Saccharomyces cerevisiae S288C: one gene and its partner. Changing the gene in region 2 together with the main gene of any one other region gives a genetic interaction. Each region holds a gene or a part of one and is shown on either strand. Other genes may lie near its edges.

Region 1 (4,398 bases), on a different chromosome or scaffold from region 2:
GCAAGTAGATTATCCTCTAGTTAAATTAAACGCGGATGAACTACGCCATTAAATCCATCATAAGAAACTAATTACTACTTTTAGGAAATTAGCCAACTAAAAACTGCTGAAACGCCACATTTCACATAAAACCCCACGGAGCAGTAATGGGAGATCTTAAGCTCAGCCCAGTACATATGTCCATCAGCCTTGAATAGCCACGGTGAGTTCTCGAAGCTTCCTTCCACCTAGTCCAGAATATTTCTTGGTAAATGGCTCGAAGTTTTCGTATTAAACGATGCTATCAGCGGCATCGTGAAATATTGAAATATAAAAAGTATTTACGCAACCGAAAAGGATATTAAGACAAACCCATACAATAGCCCATAAACCAAGCAAATACACATCTCATGTCAGCTCAAGATTATTACGGAAACTCTGCCTCCAAACAAAGCGTACGTTAATTTTACAAGTTTTGCCTTTAGAAGATCACATCGTACTAACGAGCCCTTGTATTTTCATTACATCACTTTCGATTCAGTATTCTCGTCCTAGCGCTCCACCACCAGGATATGAAACGGCGTCTAGAGGTTACGCTCCATCGCAAAGCCAACAGAACTATTATCCACCTCAACAGCAGCAGCAGCAGTATCAGCAACAACCTCAATACTATCAGCAACAGCAGCCCCAATATTACCAACAACACCCACAGCAGCCCATTTATGTCCAACAACAACCGGCCAGTTCTGGAAATGAAGACTGTCTAGCGGGCTGTCTAGCGGGTTTATGTTTATGCTGTACTTTGGATATGCTGTTTTAGAGTATCTCCATATCTTGTGGGAGCAAACCCTTTCACACAAATCCACTATATAAAACAAAGCACAATTGCACCTCTGATCTTTTAATCTTAATTAAATAAGCGTGATTAAAGTGTTCATGCAAGTAGATAATATATAATGATGATAAGTTCGAAAATGCCCTTATAAAAATTAAACCGCGTGCTAGAAGTAAACCTCCTTCAACCTGCCTCTTGAACGAATAAGCTTCTTACAAGAATCTGCGGGACATAATTTGGGGCCATAATTATCCGGATGAGCCGAACCCTTTAGTTGAGCTAGTTTCTTTTTGGGCATCTTAGATTTTTTTTTTGCATTGTCAATCCTGGCGAAACACCTACCACAAAATGCATGACCACACGATGCAATAAACGTTCGTTTTGATAAATCTCTATCAAGCATTGATGGTCTGGCTAGGGTTTGGTAGGGGCAGTGGAATTTGTATTTTGACACTAACCCTTCAAATGAAACACCACGATCCTTTTGACTGATTCCAGTAAAATCATCCGGTATTCCGACCCCCAATTCTGCGCCACACAAGCAACAAACAGGAATATCCTCGAGTGTTTTTGCTAAATCGTCATCTGTCACAATGATGGTTTCTTCTTTACCATTTTTCGTAATGTCTAATTTCATTTTTGGCGTAGTATCAAATGACGCGCTATAACCTTCGGGTAGGCTGGCTGCCCTAGCTTCGAATTCTTCCTGTTGGGCTCTGGTTTTGTTCATTAGATTCTTCATGACCACATCCCGCTCTCGTTCTTCTCTCTCTTGGATCATATCAATGATATTTTGAGTGTGTCGTTCCTCGTCAGCATCGCTCAATGCTGGGCCACTCCACAAACGACTTAAGAACCCATCCTCTCCATTGAAATTAAGATAGTTTGTGATTGATTCACGTAATGTGCCACGATGGAAAACTCTTCCTGCCGTTCTTTCTTGTCTTTCCAATGCTTCTCGGTGAAGTCTCAAGGCCTCTTCCTGAGTATTTCTGACCCTATCAATGGCCCAATTCTGCAGCAGTTGATTTCTGAACTCAGTGAAGAGTGCCATTAGTTCTTCTTCACATTCTTGCAAAGTAATTGGAGCAACATTTTGTAAAATAGACCTGAATTCATGCAGTGACTCTGCACGATGAAAAGCACTACGAATATCAGGCGTATATGATTGTATTCGTTCCCTGATTGATTGTAACCTAATAGATGTACTTATATTTTCGTCACTGGACACCCTTTGCTGTTGTACCCTACGTTGTCTTTCTGCAATCCGTCTGCTCATTCGCATACGGCTCTCCCTACGAGCCCTTTGAATAGCTTCTGGTAAATTATGGGTATCATCTGTCCAATCTTCATCGTTTTCATCAGACCGGTCCACAAATAAATTACGGGCTCTTGTAGCACTCCTTCTCAGTAACTGCCTGCGTGATGCGCCTAGATCTTCTTGGAATTCAAATGACCTTCTTATCGGTATGTCTGTTGTCGTCGCAGTTACCTCAAGCCTCTCCCCGCCTGGCAGGTTCAGTGTCACTCTGGGTCGTGTTGTTCTCTCTTCAACTATTGTCAGGCCATCATCACTTTCATTGTTATTACCATTATCATTCAAGTACCCGTTTGTGTTATCTACTTGTATTGTTCTTGGAGTTTCTAACGTTTCAGAACCTGGCTCCTGATCAAGATCGACGTAATGTGCAGAAGGATCAATAGGTCCATCGTCTCCAAAAAACCGTCCAACTTCTCGTATTATAGTGATATCGTCGTTATTAGCTTGAAAATCAGGGCGCTCAGAGCTTGCTGTTATGTGAGTCCGTTGAGAATTCCTGCTCCTTGAATCTGACCTCACAAACCTATTTAAAGCATCACGTCGTCTCCCTACCCGTCTGTCTGGGTACAACCTCACAGGAAGGTTAGCCTCGCGAATAGAAGCGTCTTCTTCCTTATCACTATCTATTAATATAACTGTCTCATTTGGATTATTGTCTGATGGGCTATTATTGCTCTTTGTTCGACCGTTAGTATCGCTATGCATTCTATTATTTCGACTATTAGAGGAGCTCCGCGTTCCAAATAATAATTTTTGGACTGAAATCTTTTCAAAAGTTCACTCCTAGACTGAAGCTCCTAGTGCAAATTTCGACTTGGTTATTACCAATCAACGCAACACACGCTCTTCTTAATGATTAAGTCTTCGTTTTGGTCGCACACTGCCTCTCATCCATGTTAAATAGTAAATATTGCGACCTTGCGTATACAGTGATGTTTCTTATGGGCAAAGCCAAAAAAAAAAAAATACGTAAGAGTGACAGATGAAGAAGTGACACTTTGAACAAAAGACTCTATCAAAATTTTTTCAGATTCAATCCAAGGATAAAGAGAAATCTATGATGTAGTGTTACAAGAATTAATGATATATGGTCATCAAACAGTGTCGAGACTGGAGAACAGCTTATCGATATTGTTCCTACCTTTAAAAAACTCGAAATATGATTATGATTTCTACTTGCTTGCTCTTAACAATTAATGACCAAAAAGTCACCACATATACTCTTTTTTTTTTATATGGCGAATACGTACAATACTTTTGTTCTCTAAAAGAATTTAGTAATATCTATTTTACAAAGTCGAGGGTTACAAAAACTTCAAATAGGAAGTGAAACTGAATGGGGGAAATATATATAAACGAAACAATTATTCTGCTAATAATTGAGCAAGCTACCAGAAACTTTTGACTAATTTCCTTTATTCAACTTATTTCTTCAAACCGCTTCTCATGTATCTACCAACGACGATACAATGGTCTCTTTCATATGGCTCTAAAGTCAATTGTTCTAATGGCTTAATACGTTCCTCACGTAACTTTTGAACTTCTCTAGCAAAAACGGTTTCCGCGTCTACAGTAGAATCAATACAGTTAGCCTTAATGGAGATAACAACACCACCTTGGTCCTTCAAGAACATATGAGAGTTCAATGCAATAATACGAGCTTGATCAGGCTGGGCAACATCTGCGAAGACACAGTCAACCATACCAATCAACATTCTGTATTTTTGTGGGTGTCTAGCATCTTCAATGATTGGGATGATATTAGGTCTCTTCTTTGCCATAGAAATCAATTCTCTGCCTGGTCTGTGAGAAAATTCTACGGCGTAGACAACACCTTCTGGACCAACAACATCTGAAACGTGAGAAACAGAAGTACCGGAAGCAGCACCTAAATATAAAACTTTCTTGCCTGGGGCAATAAATAATTCATCTAGACCACCCATAATACCGGCAGCCAACTTAGATCTGAATGGGTTCCATACACGGTATTCGACCTTGGTTGGTGGGACACCATCTTCCTTAGATGGTTCTTCAACGGAGATTCTCTTTTCACCATAAACTGATTCACCTGGGGCCATGTTCTTGGTAACTAGCAAATCTTCTTTACCTCTAGCAATGTAAACACCGGCATGTCTATGTGGTTCAATAACGACCTTGGCACCACCACGGGCACCACCAGCAGCGCCACCTCTACCACCTCTGGAGCCACCACGGGCACCACCACGAGAACCGCCTCTACCACCGAAGCCGCCTCTGGAACCAC
Region 2 (5,230 bases):
ATCAGCAATGAAACTATTACCTAAATAATCCATATGTAGATTCTCTTCTTTATTCTACTCCTCTTGGGAATCACTTTCCTACTCGGCGACTTCAGGGTTCTACTTGCACTTCCGTTGCTAGTGATTTTTCATTAGGGCCAATATTTTTACCCTCATTACAAACCCTTTATTGTAAAAGCGGGTAAATTAGGGCCATGTTTCGTATTTTATAACCCGGCCGAGTGGCAAAATACCAAAAAGAAAGATGAAAAGGATAAACTAATAATTCAGCAGAAGGGTGATCAGTTGAGGTGGAGAGTTTGTATAGTAAAGCGTTAAATTTTTTCAGGAATACTCCCCCCACATAAACCTGATTGTAGAAAATAGAATTGAGTGAGCATGGCAGGTTTATCGTTCGACAATTATCAAAGAAATAATTTCTTAGCGGAAAACTCGCACACACAACCTAAGGCAACTTCCACGGGTACCACCATTGTAGGCGTAAAATTCAATAACGGAGTGGTGATTGCAGCAGATACAAGATCAACACAAGGTCCAATTGTCGCAGATAAGAATTGCGCAAAATTGCATAGAATTTCCCCCAAAATATGGTGTGCTGGTGCCGGTACCGCCGCCGATACTGAGGCAGTTACGCAGTTGATCGGGTCTAACATTGAATTACATTCCTTATATACCTCGAGAGAACCAAGAGTGGTCTCAGCTTTACAAATGCTAAAGCAGCACCTATTTAAGTACCAAGGTCATATTGGTGCTTATTTGATTGTTGCAGGTGTAGACCCTACGGGATCTCATTTGTTCTCCATTCATGCGCATGGTTCTACTGACGTGGGCTACTACCTTTCTCTAGGATCTGGTTCTCTAGCGGCAATGGCTGTGTTGGAATCACACTGGAAGCAAGACCTTACGAAGGAGGAAGCCATAAAGTTGGCCTCTGATGCAATCCAGGCTGGTATCTGGAATGATTTGGGGTCTGGTTCTAATGTGGATGTGTGTGTCATGGAAATAGGTAAAGATGCAGAATACTTGAGGAATTACTTGACTCCAAATGTTAGAGAAGAAAAGCAGAAAAGCTACAAATTCCCCAGGGGTACAACTGCTGTGCTGAAGGAGAGTATTGTCAATATTTGTGACATACAAGAAGAACAAGTCGATATAACGGCTTGAAAGTAAAACATAGAACTTAAGTATATTTTAGTATAGTAAATCATTGTTCAACAAAATGTGATAAAGGAAGTCAAAAACTAACCGCAAAACTATTTACATAATATATTTTCTTATAGCAGAGCTTATTATTTGTTCTTGATTCTTTTTCTTTTTTCTTTTTTTTATGCTTTGAAGTGTGTTAGTTGATTTTTGTTCGTTAATTTTCGTGTTAATTTATCCATCCATTTTAGCTATTTTATCACACAGAGCATAATATAACAAACACAGCTCAGTACCACACATATAACATAACACTAAAATTAACATTTCTATAGTCATCCGTTTGTTGGTCTTTAAAGGGCTATTACTGAGGCAAATATCAAGGAACTAAGAATACCACAAACGATACACTGATAATCAAGAAACGTATAAGGGAAAAGAGCACGATGGCAAGTGTCATGTCAAATAATAATAATAATAATAATAATAATAATGCCAGTTATATGTTTACGAACCCTTTGTCCAACACAGGTGGTGGACTCATAAATGAAATAAAAGATGCAATAAATGAAATGGAACAATTAAAGGTTCTAGAGTTAAAGCAAATATGCAAATCTCTGGATTTATCCATAACGGGCAAAAAGGCTGTCTTACAAGACCGAATAAAACAATTCTTAAGAAAATCCTGTGATATTGGACATATAGATCCGTGGAGGCCTAAGGCTATTAAGATTCTTATCGCGAAAGTAAGGATAAACTCATCATTACCAAAATACTCTACCCTTTGGGAAACTTTAAAGACGGGTGCGTTCAAGCATCCTGTAGCATCGGGGCAACTACCCGTGACAGCTCTCCAGAGTACTGCATTGCCACCTTATTCCCAACAACAGGCCTTAGCATATTCTTTTACCTCACCGTTTTACAAACCAATAGTACAAATACCGGATGCCAATAAAAAATTGAAGCAATCTGCAGGAAGAGGTTGTACAAAAATGAAGTTCAAGGTAAGTAAATCTAATCATGATCTTTTGAAATCTAACAAGAGTTATAAACTGTATTTGTTTTCTGGCTTTTCAATACCGTTTATATATGAAACTGTGGGCCATGAGGCAATAGATTTCCCGTATCCCTGTGAACTAGTGTTTAATGGCACCAAACTAGAGGACAACGTGAAAGGTTTAAAGAAACAAAATGGGACAGGTAATCCTGCAAATTTAACGCCTTATCTTAAAGTACCGACCGAGATGAATCACCTAGACTTACATTATCTCAATATTGATAAAGAGTACTCTATAAGTTGCTTTATAGTGGAAGTTTTTTCACCTGAAGCTCTTCTGGGGAAAATTCTGAAAAGGCCCAAAATTATCAAGCAAGCCACCACAGCATACATCAAAAGAACCTTGAATGAGCAAGATGATGACGATATTATTACAACCTCCACGGTGCTGAGTTTGCAATGTCCTATATCTTGTACAAGGATGAAGTATCCGGCGAAGACTGACCAATGTAAGCATATCCAATGTTTTGATGCTCTCTGGTTTCTTCACTCTCAGTCACAAGTCCCTACATGGCAGTGTCCGATTTGTCAACACCCTATAAAATTCGACCAGTTGAAGATTTCCGAATTTGTAGATAATATTATTCAAAATTGCAATGAAGATGTTGAGCAAGTTGAGATATCTGTTGATGGCTCATGGAAACCGATTCATAATAGTTCGGCCGTTATAACGGATACTGTTAACCAAAATCACAGTGTGAAAAACGAGAACCAAGGCACTGTCAAACAAGAGCAAGATTATGACAGCCGAAATGCCTTCGATACTAATTTGCGTAATGGTTCAAACCACAACGAACCCGAAATAATATCTCTGGATAGCTCAGATGATGAAGCCTTTATTCCGGCTAGTAAAAGCTTCCCAACGCACGTGAACCCCCGTAATGACCAATTAAGAGCAGATATATTTCCCTCAGAATCGGAAGGATCCAGTGACTACAACCCCAATCATACATCAACGCCGAAAGGTTCTCCAACTATGGACCAAGATAATTATCAAGATGCTTTTCAAATGAGGTCATTTTTGAACCAAGGCGCTACTACAAATATAAATGACACACCGACGAACAATAGCAGTATTAATTCTTTCGTTACGGCGACGAATGGTGACAGCAGAATATTCTACAATAGAGGGCCATCAACGCCACTATTACCGGCTGTTCTACAAAATTTGACTAATCAAACGGAAGCGCAGAGAAACCCCTACGGACCTAATTACAATACCACAGCTCAAGATCGTAATCTTTTGGGAATCGAAGGTGATTTGCCTCCAATCCCCCCTGTGGACCCAAATTCAGAAGCAGAAACTGAACTACCAACAAGGACCACATCGGCGGCACATCTCCCTCCATATATACACGTGAGCACCAGCGGCCATGGGGATGATGGAAAAATTAGGAAGAGAAGGCATTCTAATGTTTCTATCTACATTCCGAAGAATCCATACGCCACCCTTATGAAACGGAGACCACAGGCAAATCACGCCATAATGAATAAAACTCTGGCCCAAACTAATGACTTTAACACATCGGCTCAAGATAACTCGGAAGTGGTCGATTTAACATCAGATTGATTAACCGTCTTTTGATTTCTTTCCTTTCCGATTGTATTCTATTTTTATTTCTATTGTTTCATTTCGCTCTTAATATTGACTTCCACTTTTGGGCGTAAATGATGTTTTTGTTTTGATAAATATTACGACTTTTGTTATGTTTTTTTACTACTGTGGTTACTTCATGGGTGTAGTGTGCGAATCTGCAGTGATAGGTTTCTATAGATTTCTCTGTATACTTCCTGTATTACACTATAATATTTCATGTCCTTTCACTTCCCACGTTTAGCGGGACAGGCCGCCCTTAAATTAACAAAATTTAAAAGGTAAAGGAATGTACTAAGAAAAGAAAACTATTCAAAGAAAGTAACAAAAGATCGTGAGTTAACTTATAATAGCAATGTCCTCAAGATATAGAGTGGAATATCATTTGAAGAGCCACCGCAAGGATGAGTTTATAGATTGGGTAAAGGGGCTACTGGCCTCACCTTTTGTTCTACATGCCGTCTCTCATGAAGGTGACTACAATGACGACTTAGCAACAACTCAACGTGTAAGGTCGCAGTATGCTGATATCTTTAAAGACATTGAAGGGCTGATTAAAGATAAAATAGAATTTGACTCAAGAAACATGAGCCAAGACGAAATTGAAGATGGCGCCTCTTCTCAATCTCTGAATATATTAGGACAATCGCGTTTAAATCTTTTGGTTCCATCAATTGGAACATTCTTTACGGAACTTCCATTGGAACAAGCTTTTCTATGGGAAGACTCACAACGGGCCATTTCGGCGCGTAGAATGGTAGCACCCAGTTTTAATGATATCAGGCATATCCTGAATACTGCACAGATATTTCACTTTAAGAAACAGGAGAACTTACATAATGGTAAGGTTTTGAGATTAGTGACTTTTGATGGAGATGTGACGCTGTATGAAGATGGTGGCTCCCTGGTTTACACTAATCCTGTAATTCCTTATATTCTCAAGCTGTTGCGGTGCGGTATCAATGTGGGAATAGTCACTGCGGCCGGATATGATGAAGCTGGAACCTATGAGAACAGATTGAAAGGATTAATTGTTGCATTACATGATTCAACTGATATACCAGTTTCTCAAAAGCAGAATTTAACAATAATGGGTGGTGAGTCGAGTTACCTTTTCCGTTACTATGAAGACCCGGAGGAAGATAACTTTGGCTTTAGACAAATTGACAAAGAGGAATGGCTATTGCCTAGAATGAAGGCTTGGTCCCTCGAGGACGTGGAAAAGACTTTGGACTTTGCCGAGAGAACTCTTAACAGGTTAAGAAAAAGACTAAACCTACCTTCAGAGATTTCTATTATCCGTAAAGTCAGGGCAGTGGGTATCGTCCCAGGCGAACGGTACGATGAAGCTTCTAAAAGACAAGTTCCTGTTAAGCTTGATAGGGAACAACTGGAGGAAATAGTTTTAACCCTTCAAAACACTTTAGAGTCTTTTG

What was found.
Region 1: mutations in NFI1 (region 2) and SLX5 impair growth when combined (synthetic growth defect), as found in Saccharomyces cerevisiae (5 studies listed by BioGRID, with this or other methods).

The regions. Positions count from the first base shown.
Region 1 is NC_001136.10:427,509-431,906, reverse strand, and holds SLX5 (SUMO-targeted ubiquitin ligase complex subunit SLX5), read right to left. Parts: upstream 2,841-4,398; coding exon 981-2,840; downstream 1-980. Other genes in the region: YDL012C (uncharacterized protein), read left to right, coding at 390-434, 521-799; rRNA methyltransferase NOP1, read right to left, coding at 3,560-4,398. UniProt on the Saccharomyces cerevisiae protein: Component of the SUMO-targeted ubiquitin ligase (STUbL) complex SLX5/SLX8 that mediates ubiquitination and subsequent desumoylation of sumoylated proteins and proteins containing SUMO-like domains for their degradation.
Region 2 is NC_001147.6:626,900-632,129, reverse strand, and holds NFI1 (SUMO ligase NFI1), read left to right. Parts: upstream 1-1,589; coding exon 1,590-3,770; downstream 3,771-5,230. Other genes in the region: PUP1 (proteasome core particle subunit beta 2), read left to right, coding at 379-1,164; ISN1 (IMP 5'-nucleotidase), read left to right, coding at 4,150-5,230. UniProt on the Saccharomyces cerevisiae protein: May act as an E3 ligase mediating SUMO/Smt3 attachment to septins. May be involved in chromosome maintenance.